Linked DNA regions of Lonchura striata. The protein of the gene in region 1 purifies or fractionates together with the protein of each later gene. This does not show direct contact. Links are inferred from orthologs where the notes say so. Each region holds a gene or a part of one and is shown in the gene's direction. Other genes may lie near its edges.

Region 1 (9,935 bases):
TGTTGTGACATTACTGCTAGAGAAGTCCTGACCACCCCAGAGCTCATTGACTGAAGCCTGACCTTGTTGCTTTCATGACCTGCACAATGCCCCAGCCAAGATCTGTTTGGTCTCCAGAACAAACAAACAAAAAAAAAACAACAACCAAAAAAACCCAAAACAAAACAAAAATCTACATTAAATGGACCTAATGGGAAAAAAATTGAGTATTGCTACATACGACAATTGATACAGGAATGAGAACAAAATGGGACCTACAATTCCCATCACAATTATTCTAAGGTAAGAGAGTAGTTTTCTTCTAAAGAAAAATCAAGTAACTTTGTATATATTCTCTATCTAGTCTAAATTGTATGCAGCAGAAGGGGAATGAGCTTGCCCAGTCTGGTGGGATAGACAAGTGACTTTCTGTTAGGGTGGAATTAAGGAATTGGGATCTGAAAGATTTCCACACTTACTGGTCAGTAAATTAAAACACTGTTTAAGTTCTTGAATTCTCCTCTCCAAGATTTTGTATAGATTCTTCTCAGAACAGAATTCAGCAGCTGTCATACCTGTGAATAAGTATCATTAACCCTTTAATAAAAAAGAAAAATATTATTTTTAGCATAAAACCATAATTCACAGAAAGTTCAACATCTAATCAAATAGAGTAATGCAAATGGAAAATGATACTGTATGAATTGTATGAAAAATATTATAAAAGTGAATATGGACTTGCTAAAGAGCCAAGGTTAAACTTGACAATCTATGCAGTTGTTGTAGGTTTTCTTCACATTACAAACTTTTATTTACTGTGAAGAATTCTCCCACAAAAAACGGGGAAATGGGTTAGAAAACATTCTCACTGCTAATTCTGTCTTTATCTGGGTTTTTCAAAGATTTGTTTTTTCTGAAGTACCAATTAATTCTCTTCACATGCCCAGCCTAGCCTGAGTCATCTGAAATAAAATCCCGACTCTCTGAAGCTGCCAGCAATCTTGCCATCATGCTAGGTATCTGGCACATGCATTTTTAATGGAAATTTACCCTGAGGTCTTGATTTCCTGAGTGCCAGTGTGTGCATCCAAAAGCTGAGGAAAAATAACATGGGGACTCTGAAAATTATTGTCTCATTCTGCTAATTGGAAATACAAACACAGAGAAACTCAAAAATAATATCTATGTACAGCATTGCTTAGATTTTGATAAGATATAGCCTGAATATGAAAAATGGATTGGTATAAAACACACTCATATTTTCACATCCACAGGGCTTCAGTGAGAATTGGCTTTCTCTCATGTGGAGCTTTCATGCTTGATGCAAGGTGCTAATGATTCCTGTCTGCTTAAAAAAGACCCATTAAACTGTCAAACCATTCAGCTAAATTCATCATGTCTTTTGAAATAGAGCTTTAATAGTGAGAAAAATTGAGAGATTTCTGAAATCCCTTTTTCTTTCCTTCTTTTCAAGCTGAAAATTGACTGGCAGCTATCAGCAAATTGAAGACAGGGAAACTTTCAGAAGCATTTGCCTTCTAAACTGCTCTTGCTTGCAGTCTTCTTGAGATCAGATTTTTATTTGCTTCCTGCATTTTGTAGGAAGGTTTTGACTGAGAATACAAGAAAAAAAAAATATTTGAATTGCTTTTGGATTTCTTATAGTGGTTTTATCTTATTTTTAAAATCTGTGAGCTGCATGTGTCTTTCATTCCTTCTCATTTTTTCTTTCGCTGCAAAATATGTTTGTATCCAGCACAAAGTGGAATGCAAAAGAATTGAGGAATTTGTTAGACTCTGACTACAAAATAACAAACCCCCCAACATTCTCAGTAGTTCCATTTTAAACTAAAGATTTGGCCTGTATTAGAGATAACAAAGTATTTTGATATTCTCACAGTACTATGTTTGTATTAAAACTTTAAAAACTGTCCCAGTAGTCTGAGATTTTAGTTATTTCATATTCTCAATGACACCTTATTTTTTAAATGCTTATGGATTTTTTCCCCCCAGTACTAGCTAAACTTCTCAACACTAAAATAGGAGCTGAAATCCCCAGTCAAAACTACTCAGTGTTAGATTATCTACATGAAACAAATACTTTTAGGTATTTTGTCATCCTTTGACATTTGAAACCAGACTAGTGCCTTTCTGCAGGGCTGCTTTCTGAAGCTCACAAACAACTTGGCATTATACACAGAAGACTCAGATCAGTTTTCTAAACAACATTTTTCATGCCATGCCACCCACGTGTAATAGTCTGGGGCTTTCCTCGCCTCTTCAGTCTTGCTGAACTTCCTCTTTTATTTCTGTGTCTCCAGTCAGCATGGCAACCTGTGGCTGGAGGCTTGACTCGTGACTCTTTGGATTTGTTTGATGCAATAAGCTGATAGCCAAATGCCTGGAAACGTTGTCAAGGTATGCTCTCTACATCTAGAAATTATGGAGTTTTTGTGGGCTTGAGAATTGGGAACTCAAGGTCAGGATTGGACTTTAGGTTCTCCACTTTGCTGCATTCGTTGCGGCATTACCATAAAGTTGAATGCTTTAGTTCAAAATGTGTATTTTGTAGCATTCCCCAGGGGAAATGCCAGAACTGTTGCTTCTTTGGAAAGATACAGCTGTGTCCAGATGCTGGCAAAAACTCTGTTAGTGTGATAGGCAGGGGTAACACCCTATTAGGTGTGTTCAGCCTGAGGTATTGTTATTCCCTGTGATGCTCAAACCCTGACAAGAGAGATGCAGCTGGCCAGGAGAGGCCACTGATGGCATTCAGGCAACCAGCCTGGGCTGCTGAATCTTCTGCCTGATGCTTTAGCTCTTTGCAGGGTGTAGGTGTAGGATTTGTAGGCTTTTCTGGTAAGGATTTTTTGTTTGGAACAGCCAGTGGATAGATTGATCAGGGCTGGTGGTGAGATTCAAAAGGGAACTTTCACAGCGATGATCTCAGTTGTGCTCTAAAATGTTTGTTCAGGAGAAAATGTCTATGGGTTGGAAAAAAAAAAAATAACCAGAGAGAAACAATAAAAAGGCTATGCACAATGCCAGATGCTATTAGAGGTTGAAGGTTTATTTTCAGAACATATTTTTTAGAAACATGGCTTCAAATAATGTCATCAGTCTAAAGAAAATTGCACCTTTTACATTTTTGTTCTGCTTTTATAGTGAGTTTTTATGGAAGAATGGGGTTGTTCTGAGTGTTGGACAGGTTAAGCCCTGTGCTTTCACAAAAGCTCTTTGAAAAGACACTGAGCATTTTTTGTTGTGTTTGCATAGTGGTCCTCTCTCTGTGATGAATAATTGAAGTAAAAGTGGCTGTGAGATACAAATAATAAGAAGAGATGTTGTGAGTATAGTTTAAGTGGGTTCAGCAGACAGTTATGACCCTCTTCCAGCTTCATGACCTCCTCAGGACTGAGCTCAGTTGATGGATAATTCTCATGAAATTCCCAGAATATAACGAAAAATCCCCCAACACCAAATAAGTATTCCTTATCCTGAGTGGAACTAATAATTGGAAGTAAGGCTGGAACTCAAAGGAGAAAAGCTCCCATTTTTCTTATTTTTAGTGGATAGCATTGAGAAGCTGTGAAGAATAAGTAAACAAACATACTCCCTGGGAAGGCTACAAATAATGAGATCTCCAGCAAGCTGCCAGAAGTTAGGAAAAGGAGTTTTCTGCAACCAGCCTTCTTCTGGTCCTACCTTATAAATTTCCCTGGGAATGACACAAAGCCCTAAGCTTTGCCTGTGTGCTATCCCCACACCACTGAAGGAACAAGCACCCTTTTCCCTGCGTGGGAGAGTGTTAATTGCTATGCCCAAAGGGGAAACATGGATTCTTCTGGCTAGTAATCAAATGCTATTTGAAAGCCATTATAGTGCCCAGGATTTGTACTGGATGGTTGTTACAGACAACTGGCTTGCTGGGAGCTGCCTCGGGGTTGTCTGGCTATTGAGCCTTTGGTTTGATCTTGGAACCAACTTCCTGTGCAAATAAAGACATTAGTTAAGAATGTCTACCTTAAAGTATCAGATGTTTGAAGATGTCATGCGCTTCTTCATTAAAAAGCCTTTGAAAATTAAAATAAAGGTCACCAGCCCAACTCAGTTCTCTGGTTAATGCTTTTTGCTGGTTTGATTTGATCCAGTTGCCTAATCCTATTGGGGGGCAGCCTGTGGAACGTGCAGCCAGAGAAAACATCTTGGCACAACACGCCACCGAGTCCTGGCTTGGCTTGTCACTAGTGCCACGGGAATTGGCTGGGTTGGGACTGTGGGGTGACAGGGAAGGTCCTGTCTGCAATCAGCCTGTGCAGTCACATGTGGGATCAGCTGCCAAGTGAGGGATCAGCCACTGAGCACATCAGCGGCTGGAAGCACAAGTAGGATATGTTCAGAAAACCAGACAAGCACTACTTGACTGTCATGCAGCCAGAAGCTGCAATCACTTGGTTTTTTTACCTGTGTGCATTTAAACCAGATAAGCTTTCTTTTCTGCCTTCTTTCATCTCAGTGCTAACTGTTACAGGTGAGTTATAGCTGAAAATATGAGGCTTTAAAAACACTCAAGTTTGACAGCTGCAGCATGTCGCTAGTCCAGTATTTCTTCTTTCTCACATAAATTTGAAAGCACATTTGTGCTCTGAGCTCAGTGCCTTCTTTTTGAAGGATAAAATGGTTTAACTGATCTTCTTTTTACTCCCAAACCTAGGTACTAATTAAGCAATACCTGTAAGAGCAGTAACTGTAGCAATAACCTCTCACTACGCTGATCTAATCTGGAACTATTAGCAGCTGCAATAGTTATACCGCTAAGAATTTTCCCCCTTTGGCATATGTTATAAAGGCTGTCCCTTGATTAGGTCAAAAAATGCTTGGAGGCTATTGATTTTTGCTCCGTTTTAGGAGAAAGCACCTCAATTGCTCAGTTTGAATTTGAATGATCGTGCCAAGCAAATGTATTTATGCATCCGATCACCTGTTTATCTGGTCAGAGGAGCTCTGCGGATTTTTGTGTTATCGGGGACGACACAAAAAAGCCATTCTGACTCCTGAGCTGTTGGAGATGCTGTGCTCTGGGGTGGTGCCCTGCTCCTGCCCGGTCACACACGGGAGGTGGCTGCGAACTTTTGCGGCGCATTTTAACAAAAAGTGATGCGGGGCTGGCTCCCGGCATCCCGGAAAAAGAGCTGCCCCTAAGAAAATGCCTTTTCCATGGAAATAAGCTGAGTAACTCGGGGTAACACCGGGGCTGTATGGATCCTTTCTGGTCCCTACAGAGATTTCCAAATTAATAATATAGTCGTGGGAGAGGCGGATCAACCGCGGCGCTGAAAGTTCAGCCCCCGCAAACGGAACTTTTGTTGGGAGTTTTTCGAGAATGAAATTGGATTAGACCCAGGGATGACGTATCTTGTTTGATTTCTTTTCCTCGTGCTCTGACGAGCTTTGTGTTTAGGCAGGCTTTTGTTTCTGGCTCTGAGCTGCTTTTAAAAAAATTGGGAGCGTGTCTTGGGTGATAGGCTTGCATTGATTGGGGAGGTTTGGCTCGAGTTGCTGGCGAGTGCTTTGTTCTTCTCACCACCCCCAGGTCAGCTGCACAACATGCCCCTACAGTTTAAAAATGAGAAAAAAAAAAAAAAAAAAAAGGAGGAAAGAAAAAAAACCCCAACAACCAAAAAAAGAAGAGGAAGGAAAAAAAAAAAAAAAAGAAATGCTGAGTAATGCCAGAGGTTTCTCAAATGGCTGATGCAAACCTGGAGAATTTGCATCATCATTCAGCTGGAGTAACTTGGTATGACAAGAGCTTAAATACAAGTCCATGCGGAAGCTGAGCTGGTTTCCAATGATAGGGCAGTACCACGGTGTGGAGACGCAGGTGTTCCTGTGCTGGGCTGGGATCACAGGAAGGGCTCACCTACTCTTGAAGAACTTGTTACCTGTGTGTAGGAGCAGCTGGAGAGATAAAAGAAAACAGAGGAAGAGACAAAGTAGTTGGCTACACAGAGAGGGGAAAAAAAAAAAAACAAAACAAACCTTCAGTTTCTGCTGAAAACTTTTCTGCCTGTGCTTGCCAGCAGCGTGCTGGTGGCACTGTAGCATGTTCAGGAAAGCTGCTGTGCCCACGGTCTCTAATGGAAGCTACTTGCAGGGACGAGCTAATGGCAAGTTGTCCTCTATGGACAGTGGACAGCCAGCCCGGGAGGGAAAAGTTGTGCTGAAGAAGAAAGTGACGCTTTTGAGGGGGATATCCATCATAATTGGCACTATCATTGGAGCTGGCATCTTCATCTCTCCCAAAGGCATCCTGAAGAACACAGGCAGCGTGGGCATGTCCTTGACTGTCTGGACAGTGTGTGGTATCCTCTCGCTTTTTGGTAAGTCCCTGAAAAGTTTCTAATTGGTCTAGAGGGGCAGCCGGCGAATTATTGTGATTATTTCTCTGATTTTACTATTGGATAGGAAGTGAGAGTGCAGAGCTTGAGCGCCAATGGGACTACAGAAGGTCTGTGCTTCGCGATGGATTTGTGGAGGGTGCAAAAATTTCAACCTCTGTCCCTCTGCTCCCAGCACCAGCTGGTGAAAGCTGGAAGCACTTTTTTTTTTTTTTTTAATGAGTCCCTAAAGGAACAGAAAAACCAAACGAGCATTTTTTTCCCCTATAGAATGTGCTGTATGTTTTTCTCCTGTAAGATGTATTTATGGTTTGCATGTGAAGCCCTGGCAGCTGGATGAGCACGCTGCTAGATCACCACTGAAATGTTTAGACAGCTCAGCCTAGTTCCCCAGAGGCTAGAGCAAGGTCTGAGAGGAATAATTCCTACTGTATGTAAGCTGTATTGCATGAAGGGGAGCAAAACAATAATACTAATAACCCCTCTTCCCAGCCCTTCCTTCCTCACCTGTGATGTTGCTTTGAAAGATTGGGCTACAAAAAAACCAGTGTGATGGAAGCAAATCTGTCCTGGGAGTTTTATTACTGCTTATTGTGGCAGTTTTTGTTAATTCTTTTTATTCTTGAAGAGTGTTGAATTCTGGAGAAGTCCAGTTAAGTTGTTCTGTACACAAAACCCTCATTCAGAGTGGAAAACCCCACCCTGGCCTCCGTGGGACAGAGGGCTCATTGACCTATTTAATGAGTTAATCTCAAAGAAACTGAAGAACTAACATGAATATTGGCTTTATTTAAAAGGGAAACTGCTTGTTTACTGGCAGGAGGTGAAGAGGACAAAGAGGGACTAAGTGTCTACTTAATAGGTGGAACATGCAAATGCCACCTTGTAAATTGGTGCTGAGCTTAAAAGAAATATTCTTTACAGGCTAAACCCATCCAGGCCAAACAAACAGTCGAGTTAGCTGGGACCCATTTGGGTCAAATGATAAATGTATGGGTACAATGTGCAGCATAATCTCTTGTACAAATGTGGAAGATCTGCCTGCAATAAAATTCTCCTCCTTTCTCTAAGCAAGAAAAACCTCAGATCCAATTCGTAACCCTGTCAAAAGACCTTGGTCATTTGAGTTACTTAACCCAGAATTTGCTTAAGCACTGCATTTATGGCTATAACTTAAGTAGTAGTAATCTTCTGGCTGTGAAATAAAGTGTGTACCAAAAAAAAAAAGAAAAGAAACCCCAACCCCACAAAAAACCAAATCAAAATAAAAAAAACCCATTCTCTTTTATCAGATTTTTAGGTCCCTTTCCAGACATCTAGATACGAAGAACTGTGTAATTTGGCACAGCCAAGGATAATATCTTGTTCTCACAATGGGCCTGTTACAGTTTGTTTGTTTTTTGGTTGTTATTTTTTTGGTAATATTTTGATTTTTAGTTCTCTTCATGACTCAGTTATAGTTAAATCACACAAAGAGGTCACATAAGATCTTGCCGAGGCTGTGTTTATAACATATATTAAAACACAATTTCATTTCATCCTGAACCTCAACAGAAGAGGCTGGCAAAAGAAAATGCCAAAACACCTTTTTTTTAATGTGGCTGTAAGGATTCCTTTAAACACATCTTCAGGTATGTTAAAGAAAAGCAGATAAAAGTTGCCACATTTTTGCAATGTCCCGAACAAAAGAAATGAACAAGGCTGGAGAATTTGTCATCATGTGCTACAGCTTTGATGGGCTTGTACAGGTGATGTGGTTTTGATAAGTTGTAGTTTTTATCTAAAAGTGCTGCAGCGTAGAGGCATGCAGGGAAGAGAGCTGAAATGAGTTCATGTGTGATTCATTGCTAACAAACTTTATTCCTGATTATTACTGGCTTCTCAGAGTCTTCCAAGAGGGCTGCCTCTGTTTGTTGGTTGTGGAGCACTATTGATGTGTTCCACCTGTGGAGCTGTGAATCCCTGGCTTTGTAACTCAGTGATGGTTCCTGACCTTTCGCTGCATTTGCAGGACACAAAACAATCCACCAGTTTTGAAAAGCTGCCACTAAGCCATCCCCTGAGTTTTGTATGGAAGATGTTAGGAGTACCGTTGAGGAGAATTCTTATTCTGCAGATCCTTCTTCCAAATTTTGGCCATTTGTTTGCTTTTGACTATGGTTGAGGAGAGGTGATACAATTTCAGAGATTGAGCCAGGCATCTCTAAGGCTGAAAGGAGTAGATCAGCCTTTGATAACAGGCAAAGATGTCAGAAATCTTTCATTTAGTGGTGCTGCCTGGGAAGTAGGGTGGCTGGTGTGAAACCCCAATTTGTTGTCCCTCTTCACAAGATATTGAGTAGTAATTGCAAATAGCTCGTCCAGTGGCTTTAAATATAACTAGATAAATAGTTTGGTTTACTGCATGTCTGGCTGATTGAATTAAAGTGTAGAAAATTAATTGGAAAAAAAAATATTAAAAGTAGTAGTGATACCATGACAGCTCTATAGTTTAGGCTATATATTTTGATATATATTTCTGGATATCTCTCATGTTGGTGTTATTGAATTCTCACAGGTGCCCTCTGCTATGCTGAACTAGGGACGTGCATTAAGAAATCTGGTGGTCACTACACCTATATCCTGGAGGCCTTTGGCCCATTACCTGCATTTGTGAGGGTCTGGGTGGAACTACTCATCATTCGGTAAGTGTGTCATGACTCTGCACTTGTCAGTCATAAAGAAAAATCTCTGATATATGTTGGGCAGAAAAAAAAAAATCAAATATATTTTGGTCAGTTAACTGTGTTCTTCCACTATGATTGCTTCAGAGAGTTTAAAAATGCTGTTCTGCTCATCAGCTTTGAAATGTTCAAGGAGACATGTTTACATACATGGGGAAATAAGAAATCTACCACAAAAATTCAATAAATTGCCTTAGTTTTGCTAAGCTTACTATGTCCATTGAAGTCATTAATAATGTTGTTAGCTATACCTAGATATGGTAGAATGAAAGACAGAAGTCACCTTTACCTTTTTTCAGTCTTGGCACTACCTTCTGGAGCAATTACTGTTGTCTATGGATACAAGGATAACTCCTGGTGAAATTATTGTCCAGTAGTTTTTCAGAGTTAGGGGCACCATGTATGCTTTTGATGTCAGATTGGGCCCTGATTTTTTTGGGTTTTTTTGTGGAGTGTTGGAGAACGTGACTCTTACTTTGGAAAACACTAACTGACCAAATAAAGAAACACTGTCTTCACATACCTAAAATGTCCAAATATATTGCATTGGTGTGCAAGCCTGCGACTCATGCAGCCTTTGACATTACAATACAAAGATGCTGAATCATATAAAATAAGCTTTCATAATGTAAACGGATCAACGCATCAAACCCACGTGTAGCTTCTCTTTTGTTTTTAGGCTTTTTCTGAGTTTGGAGATCTTGAAACACATAGAACAGGGCAACTTGGAATTCAAAATGACTTTGGGAATGCTCCATGCCCCTGCCTTAGGCGCTTCTTTCCCCTCTTCCGCAATCAGCAGATTAGTCACAAATGAGGCACAAGCAAGGCTTCA
Region 2 (9,845 bases), on another chromosome or scaffold:
CTTGACAATTCCAACATACATTATGTAGAGCTCAGAAATGAGGCTCCAAGGGGGGAAACTGGGAGGAGTTTCCTGCCTTGTGCATTCTCCATCCATGGAGGGGCACTTGGTTCCACCTGGACTTGAGACAGCTCCTTTGGCTCTCTGTTTTCCAGTTGAGCTCAGGGAGACAGCATTCCTGGCTTTGTCTGGGTATATCCAGGTGGAAAGGTTCAAACCTTAGGACATATGCAGCTGCTGCTGTTCCACCAATTCATTAAGTCTTGGCTATGTTCAACTTGCATAACTTACAGTGTTTAGGGGGAATGCTGGTTGCTGCTGATGTCTGCACATCCAACATGGGAAAAGGACTGTCCATTTGAGGAAGAAGATGCCACTGCTGGAGGAATTCCCTAAAAGTATACAAGTGCCAGGCTGCTTTGTGTGTATTTTCCCAGCGAGTTCAGCATTTCCAAACCTAGCACTGCTGTGCCTGTCAGCCTCCTCAGCCTGTTCACGCTATGATGTGTGCACACCTGCACCTTCCCTCCTAGAGCCACACTGGAAACAGCTGAAACTCTTGCCTCTGAAAACAAACATGCTTATTATGGTCTAAAATTAAGATGCTTTTCCTTCCCTTCCACCTTTCAAAGGAATCATAAAAGTGACTAACAAGGAGGCTACTGAAATTTAGTAAGTTTCTGTTTATATACAGATGGGCTCTGGTTTTACTGCTCTTTGTAACTGAAAAAGATAGGGTTAGCTGCTCATTCCCACACTGCTATGTTTAAGACACAGTCTAAATGTGGATATGTTGTGTGTGACTATGGCAAGAGTGGCACAAACATATCTAGTGTGAACAGAAACTGTTCCAGCTAAAATTCGGGGTTTACTTTCGTTAGATAGGAAAATATTTGGCTCTGGTCAGGCCTGTATTAGGCACAAGCGCCCCTAAGCATTTATCTATATATAACAGTTAACAGTTTGGTTATGCAAATATGAAGTGTTTCCTGAGTTTCCTGAATGTTTGCCTTTTGTAAGGCTCACCTGCTCTTCTGGAGCTTTAGATGTTTGATATAATAATTCCAATGTACTGTATGGAACAGAGAATGGATGAGAAAGAATGGGGGCTAAGAAAAAGGAGAAATTAGTGGACATGACAGACAGAAGTCAAGGTAGAAATCACAAAGCAAAATCAAGTAGAAGAAAATGGAAAGGCAGCAGGGACAAAAGAGTACATCCAGAAAGTAGCTTTGCATAAGCTCGATTCACCTCTTGTATAACTGCAAACAAAAGAAATAAAAGTGGGAATACAGAGCTGCATTCCCACTTTCGTTTATTTTGCTCGCGTGTATCCGTTCCAGCACTTCTTGCACGGTGTGTGCCAGCCAGGGGAAGGAGGGGCAGAGGCAGACAGCAGCCACCTGCAGAGAACGCGAGTGTTCTCCCCTCGCTTTCCCCGCACGCCCCACGCCCAGCCGCGCAGCTGCTGCTCACTCGGGCGGTCACGAAGCGCTCTGGTCTCTGCGGCGGGCTGGGACAGCTGGTGGCACTTTCCAGCTCCATCCCCAGCAGCAGCCGAGGGGGGACATGGCATTAGAGCTGTCCGTGGGGACCGGGGTGTGCTTTGCTGCACACGAGGGTCAGCCAGGGACTACGTGGCTGCGGTGGTGCTGCGGACAAGAAAGATGATGGGGCCGCGGACAAGAAAGATGATGGGGCCGCACGGGCTGGCAGGGCTCCTCACAGGCGGCTCGAGCCGTGCGGGCTGCGGAGGTTTCTGCCTGTCTCGGATTCAGGAGTTGTTTAGGGATCTGGGGCAAACCAGTAGAACAGGCTGATGAATCCACACGCTAGGTGCCAATCTGGGTTGCTGCTTTTTTTCGGGAGTAAACAACTAGGAGCCATTGTTCATCTTCCTAACTTTCTGCAGGACACAGGTTGTAAATTACATCCAGGAACAAAAGCTTGATGGGAGTAGAACCGGGCGCTCAACTTCCCAAGGGAGTGCTTTGCCCTCCAGCCAGAAGAGCAGCTTTTCTTGCTTAAACCAGCGCAGGCTCTTCTTAGGGCTTCCCATCAGCACTCAGAGCCCACGAAAAGTGTGCAGTTCAAGATTTGCCACACTGGAGCATTTACAACCGTTGCCATTACAAAGCCTGTTTTCAGGATTGATAATGAAAATTAAATCTACTCTGAAATTGAATCCAGTCTGAAATGCAGGAAACCAGATTGCAGTCTAGAGACATAGAGGAAATATTATTAAAAATAGCATATTTTATTGATATTACGGATAAGTGGGTATGAAATCCTCCCTGCTTCCCCAAATCTGATTTTCAGCCAGTCTCACAGATCACCCGTAGTCTACACAAAACATACACAGCCATGAGCAGAACTACCTAATGACATTTTGCTTTTTTTATATTCACTAAGACCAGTTGCTGTTCAGCTCCCCATAACAAGCTTGAAATATTCACCAAGTTATGCTCATAAACTTCTTTTTTTTATTTCAAAAAATAGTATTTCTGCTGATAATAGAAAAAAATTAAAATTAGGAGATCTGTTTCTTTAGAAATTTTAAGGCTTGAGAAGACAAATGCCACTATTTTCCAGAAACAGAATTCCGTTCTACTCTTCTTTCAATTTCTTCCATTCAATAGTGAAATCAATCTCCATTTCTACTCTTTTTTTTCCATCATAAGTACAGGTTCATTCAGGTACATCCATTTTCTTGTCTGTCCACAAAATAAAATCTAAATATTCATTCTAGGGAGAGGCTGTGTCACTGAGTTCAGTGGAATTTTGTTCTTTCAATTAAGCTAGGCCAGAATTTAATCCTCTATGTGAATTCCTGCAAAAAAAACCTACTTCTTATATAGTTGTAAGCTATGCATGTTACTTTTCTAGGACTCCAATATATGTACTTCCTAGTAGGAATTTTATCAAAATTAATTAGTGCTGGCTACAGTTCACATATGTGATAAAATCACAAATGAGTTATTTTGGTGTTCCTGTGCTATATTATACCATCACAGATTCAGTATTCGCAGTATCAAAGATGTCACAGAAAAACACTCTTTTAAATTCTAGGGTTTTATCCTTTTTCAGTCTTATTGTTTCATTTTCTTTTGAAAACTTAATTCATTAATCATTTTACAAAATTTTGGTGTCAGTAGTTTAGCTTCTTGTTGCCAAGGAAGTAAGCAAATTCCGGATCTCAGATATTTAGCAGTACTGACAGGCTCAAAAGGGATGCTCTGCTGCATTTTTTCAGCTGAAGATTTGCTTCAGGATTTTTCTGTTCCTATGTAATACGGTTTTCCCAAACTAAAGGAGAAGTTACGTATTTCTCACAAAGAAATCCCCCAAACAAAACCAAAACAAACCCTGAAAAACAAACCTCCAAACCCAACAGTTTCTCCAGAATTGTACATCTGCTTTGACTAAACCTTCTGGGCAGCATTTTGCCCTGCAGCCAGGCTAAATTTGGACTGCTGCTGGCTACCTGAGACCAACATAAGCTGACCATGTTTGTGTGGGAAAACAGGAAATTTTTTGTGCCATTTTTTTGGTGGAATGCACATGTGTGTTCTAGGCTGCCATGTAGGCAGGCTGATGGCACAAAGAATGGCCAAACTCACATGTCCCATACAAACAGCTCATTAATTGTTTTTGTGATTTATCACATGAAATGATGTAAAGTTATCAATTATTTTTCTTGTGTAGATCTATCTTTTCCTTTTGCATGAGGTACTAGCACCTCCATGCTGTGGTCTAAATGTGTCTAATCTTAGCCCAGTTTTTCAGGGCAACAACCCTGAGAGTCTTTCCAAAGCAGAATACCACCCACCCTTGCTGAACACATGCAGAAATTATTGAAAAGACTGAGATGAATAACAACTAATATTTTGGTATCTAGAAAACAACCTTTACATATTCAGTTGTCAGAAGGGCTATAGAATTAGAAACTTCACACCATGAAGAGACCAGGAATTTCCACTCCTAGTTATCTAAGATTCTGCCTCTATCCCTAAAATGGATGTTATTCTCCCTTTACCTGTACCAAAGAAAACTTTTATTTTTTTTTTAATTCTGTATCATTATAAATACAGGATATTAATGGAGAGTCATTTTATGTTCATAAAAAATAGGACTCAAAATTTCCTAAATTTAAATGAAATGTTTAACTATTCTGTTTCATCCATAGGACATGAGTTTTAAAAGTAACTTAGCAGTTGAAGAAAAAGATATACTTAGTAAATTTAAAGCATTTGTTAACTGTGTGCCAGCATTTTGAAATCCCACTAATCTTTATTCATGGATTTTGATGCCAAAACATTTACAGATATAAATACACAGGATTTTACAGAACTATTTATCTTTCCACTTTAGACAATAACGTATATAGGAGATTGCTTTCTAATTGGTTTTAAAGCCATTTCTTTAAAAAAATAAAAATAGCATATTAACTAAAGAAAAGGTGTTTTATCCATAATTTCAAAGTTGCTAGCTTCATAATAAAAATATACCCTGTGTTTAAAGGAAAAATTTTTACTTTAACTTTGTCCCATCAGATATTCTAGACCTGTAGGAAAAGCCTGTTGGAACCTGTTGCTAAAAATTTGCCTGGTTGAGGAAAGGATAGCCAGCCATCTCTAAGTCAAAAGGCAAAACAAAGGCAAAGTCCTGAAAACCTCTTTATGTGACCTTCTTCTGCTTGTGGCTGGAGATACTTGTCTGTATTTTTCCACTGTTTGTGTTAACAGAGATTAAATTAATGAGAAACTTCTTTCAAGTGGGGAGATCAACAAAATGGTAATCTGATATAGGACTATTCAATCCAGATTTGGCAAGGGAAGCTGAAATCCAGGCATTTATGGCTGTTAAAGGTGAGAAGTGCTGGCTTTGGTGATCCCTGACCAACCCCTCATCCCAGGGCACAGGAACCACTGTTCCAATTCTTCAGCTCTAAGAGAAGCCAGTGCATGGAGCCACCACAGGAAATCTCCAAGGCACACAAGAGACAAGAGACAAGCCTTTTGCTTATCTACAGAGGCTTTGGGGTTTTCGCCAGAGGTTTCATGAAGAGCCAAACAAAACCACACACTGCAATGAACATATGTCCCTCAGGAACTGAGACCTTGTTTGAACCTCAAAAATCTCGTAACTTTTCATCCTGCTTCTCTGCTTTCTGAATTGGGAATAGGAGGAAAAATTCCTTCTGTACCTTATTCCATCAATAGAATAAATATCAGCCTTAGTGCTCAGCATCACTCACTTCTGGCACTGGCATTATTCACTACTTTTTGTTCATTCATTTCTCTTCTTGGAGCAGCGTGTGCAGGGACACCAAGGGTAGAACGGGCTGTGGGAAACTGAACAGCCTCAACTTACCTTCTGCATGATGTTATCCTCCAGCAGTGAACAAAAACATTGCAGAAAGCTTCACTGCAGAGCAGGCATTTTACTTGCTCTTAATAGAACCGCACAAAGAGAAAATGGCAAGATAGGAATAAATAAGCAAAATGTTTTTGGAAAATATCTAGGCTGATAAGATGCTTTACCAGGGTTTAGAAACTCGAATGCTTTTATGTTCACTTGGTTTGCAATAATGAAGAGATTTTAAAATGCAGGATGAAATGCTTATAACAAACAGTGCATTTCTGAGAGAACTCAGGAGAGATGACACAAATTTTCCTACAAGCACACTAAGTATAACTTTTGACTAGCCTAGTGTAAGAAGAGAAGGTTTAGTGGCTCTTTAAAACTCAAGTGTGCCTGCTTAGTCAGTCCTAGCTCTCCTTCCACTCCCCCTTCTTCTGCTGCTGGGTAACTTTTGTTGCAATATGGGTGTGACTTTTGATGGAGCTTCCCCCTCCCAGTTATGTCATTACTTCAGTTCCTTTGAATCAGAATAAAAAGTGCAGCAAACTTCAGACTCATTGACTGCAGGCTTAACAAGCGTTGGTGCTTTCCTTCCTTCTGCAGCTTGCAAGGATCTTTGGATTTTGCAAAACAGTTCTAAGAAAACAATGGCCAACTTCTTACGGACAATTTTTGGATTATTTTTGCTGAAGCTCTGTCTAGCAGAAACAGGTAAGATTTTTATGAATGAAAACTCTTATGATTGTTAAGTTAATGCTTCAGACAGCAAGTGTGCTTCTGCTAGATAGCTAACAGCTTTCTTGCATCTATAAACTTTACTTATTTCAAGTGTTATCAGAGATGTTTTAGAAGTGTAATCTCAGTTGTGCTGGTCTGTACAAGCACGGAAAGCTGCGTATTGCTTGTAAAGGGCAATTCCAAATATGTAAAAACTGAATTGTAGAACATTAAAGAACGAAGTTTAAATTAGGAACAGAACTCCATCAGGGAATTCGGAATGGCTCTGGTAAAGCTCAGTTTGACAATGTGACTGCTGTTCCACACGCAGTTTTTTCTCCCAGCTCCTCTTCGGACGGCAGCGAAAAGGGGGCGGAAGGAAGGGGGTGAGCCCCCACCCCCCATCCAGTTTACAGCTGCATTCTGGAGTTTACATGAGCTGAACCAACAGCTGAAACAAGCTGCATTTGGGCACAGCCTTGCTGAACAGGAGAAAAACTGCAGGGAGCTCTGCTGAAATTTGGAGAGCTTTTATGCCAAGCATGCTTGCTTCTGACTTTCTAAGGTCTCTGTGGGGCTGACTGATGAGCTTTTGGAACAAAGGGGGTTAGAAGGGACAAAGTTCAGCTGTTTATCACTTACCTTCCTGTAGCTTGGTTATCTGCTTCAAATATTTGTATTTAAGTATCTAAGGTTAATACAGAGAAAAAAATAAAAAAATTATGTCCAAAGTGACAAAAAGCTTTTGAAATTTTACATGGTGTAGGCTCAACCATGTTTTAGGGGAATGACCATACTTTTAGCAGACTCTCACTGTGACTGTAACTGCCTCGAGGCATTTTGTGGTTGGGGATAACAGTTGTGCTTCTGTATTGTTTTTGTACTCATCAGTTTCAGGAGTCTAACAAAATGCATTTTTCATGACCATCGTCACCCAGGGCCGTGTGCGTGTCTGTGTATGTACAGTAAATATGTGTCTCATTTGCTTGAGCAGCAGGGGATACTTCTGTTAATGGTTGCAGCGCTGCCAGGCTGTGAATGGGTGTGTCAGAGGGAGCAAGTTCCCAGTGCTTCTGTGATAGCTGAAGCAGCCTCATAGCTTTTCTTCCTAAAATTGTGTGTCCATTGTATCAAAATGCTCTTGCTAAGATGAGGTTTATAGGCAAAGTCTTAAGAGCAAGGACAGGGCTGCTCTAGGCAAGTAAAGTATGTCTAAGATAAGTTTAAATCCTTGGCTTGGTCCACGTCTGTGCACTGTGTAAATAACTGCTTGACTGATTTTTACTTCTATGAGCTGCCTGAAGTGTCCTAGAGAGCAGGGTCTGCACTGACTCTGGGAGTAATGTGTTTTTACAGTGAGACAGAAAGCCCCATTATTGAGCCATCAGTGTAGTTACAAAAAGTGTGTCAAGCTCCACATATGCCCTCCAGGGAAGTTTCTTTACTGGCTTAGTAAGGTACTAGAATATAGCTACAGTATATTTAAGTTGGTATACAGTACATTCCAGCATGACTTTTTAGTCAGTAATTATTTCAAAACAGCAGTTGATGGTGGTGTTTTCTATTTTTAGCCAGTGATTTTGCTGTGTATCACAGACTAATGGCTATTGATGCTGGGAAACTCCTGAACTGGAATTTTGATTCTTTTAGTACAGAATTGTACAGAATTAAAAAGGACCTGGAATTACTGTTAATGTGATTTCAGAAGGAAAAATGAGATACAGAGAAAGCTGGAAAACTTACTCATCCTGATTTCTGTGCTGTTGTGACTATACTGTCACTGATATGTTTCTTACTCATAGTGTTGACATGACTTGTTTAAGGAGTCTGGATCCCAGAGAATATAGATGCTGACATCTTGGTTAATGATGTTTTGCAGGAGATTTTCTCCTGCAAACATTATGTATTTGTAGAAATATTTTTCTTAAAGTTTTCCTTGATTAATACAAATCCTAGAATTTTGACCCCCAAACTGGAAGGGGTGGGGCGCAAGAGAAGAGAAGTAGTAGTGGTAAGCATGAAATGGAAAGAGGGACAATGAGTCTGCCTGTGGGAGGAAGGAGCTTACCTGTTAGCACTGGAGAGGTTGCCAGAGCCCATTCCAAGGTAATGCTGTGAGACAGGGCTCCTGCAGCTGCTGGTCAGTCACAGAGGAAGAGACCTGCCTGCCCCTTGGTTTACATATCTATCATGTAAATTTGTAAATAAAGTAGTTTGAAGAAGCTCTTTGTGCTAGTTTATTTTCACTCGGTCCTTGCAGTGTCTATCTTGGCAGTTTCCCAAAGCTATAAAGTAAGGAGACTTTATTAAGAGTTCACTTGAACGTTCCATCATTGTTTAGTGGAAGGGTTATGGAGCTGTCCTGGAAACACTCGCACACGCAGAGCCAACAAAGCATGGTGGGGGATTGTTTTCGAGAATTTGGAGAAATGTTTGAAGATTCTTTAGGTACTGGTGTTCACCACAATGAAGAGCCATTACCTTGAAAATAGGAAGTCGGAGAAAGGCTTAATGAGGACAGATAGCATCGGACAATTGAGGAAGAACTTTTTAAAGTAAATGCTTTTAAAACCACTGATAGCTCTAGCCAAAGTTAAACAAAATGTTCATTCATATGTGGTGTATCTTTCTTTCCAGAAGAGTTCCCATTACTTTTATAGGTCTGAATTGAAGATAGTGTGAATATTGCAGTTATTCATCTATCACCTAAACATGCATGAGGTTTGACTGTATCAAGAATGTGCCAGGAGCCAGAGACATCATGACATGCTGTGATAGACAGATACACACCAAAGAGAATCATGAGCTCATTACGCCTAAAATACTTGTTGAAAAAAATGTGATAATATTTGATAATACTAGTTCTTAATGTAGTTGACTGATAGTAAAACACCTTGTAGAAGAGCAGAGAAAAAGCAATGTAGAGTTCCTTTATAAGGAGCAGATAAATCAGTCAAAGAATTTAAAAGTTTTTTGGTGTTCCAAAGCTGTAAAAAGGTTACTCCATCTGCTTTCTGGTCTTCTTGCATCATGTTTTTGTTCCAGAACTAAGGGGTAAGTGTTTGAAAATACAGTCAATATGTAAGATGATCATTCTTCCCTTCATATATCACTGTTTGGTCTTTATTTTCAAGAGAATACTATGTAAGAGAGCAAGGGAAGGAGTTCTGCAAAACTCGTCTCTAAAATTGGTCTTTCAGGACCAAGGCTAAATGTATGTAATTATCTGTGAACTATAACTTCATAGAGAGGATAATTGTGAAACAAACATGACCCATCACAGTAATCTTGCCTACTTTGAAAACAATGCAACATTGCACTGGAACAATTAATTGTGTTCAAAACACATCATATTTTAGAATCAGCTGGCATCTGGCAGTGTGCTGATTCAATTTGTCAGCATTAAGCTGAATTCTGAAAATAGAGAGATGGAAACTTACAACTTGCTAGCAAGTAGAACACATCCACAGCCTAGTTTGTTCTTTGCCTTTACCTGTCAGGGTTTCTGTGTGATAAACCTGGTGGTTTGGACCATTCTCTGCGTGTTATCCACGACTGTGGGCGGGAAGCCAGTTTGGTGTAGCTGCTGGTCATTTTCCAGGAGTCCATCATCTCTTAACAGACAGTCATCTCTCCCTCCCAGAGAGGCAATAATAATTTCAAAGCTATCAGACGCTGTAATTATCAGTGGCCATGATAGGTGCTGCTAATAGCAGTGGCAGAGAGGGTTGTGTCGGTGCTGTGTATTTATCATTTCCTCCCCG

Evidence for each region.
Region 2: the proteins of SLC7A11 (region 1) and CD44 purify together in Homo sapiens (affinity purification with western blotting; 3 studies listed by BioGRID and IntAct, with this or other methods). This does not show direct contact. The link is inferred for Lonchura striata from reciprocal best matches to the Homo sapiens genes SLC7A11 and CD44.

What each region holds. Positions count from the first base shown.
Region 1 is NC_134606.1:73,942,104-73,952,038, forward strand, and holds the start of SLC7A11 (cystine/glutamate transporter), read left to right. Parts: upstream 1-6,051; 5' UTR 6,052-6,082; coding exon 6,083-6,359; intron 6,360-8,934; coding exon 8,935-9,061; intron 9,062-9,935. UniProt on the Homo sapiens protein: Heterodimer with SLC3A2, that functions as an antiporter by mediating the exchange of extracellular anionic L-cystine and intracellular L-glutamate across the cellular plasma membrane.
Region 2 is NC_134608.1:43,623,460-43,633,304, reverse strand, and holds the start of CD44 (CD44 antigen), read left to right. Parts: upstream 1-5,899; 5' UTR 5,900-6,011; coding exon 6,012-6,075; intron 6,076-9,845. UniProt on the Homo sapiens protein: Cell-surface receptor that plays a role in cell-cell interactions, cell adhesion and migration, helping them to sense and respond to changes in the tissue microenvironment.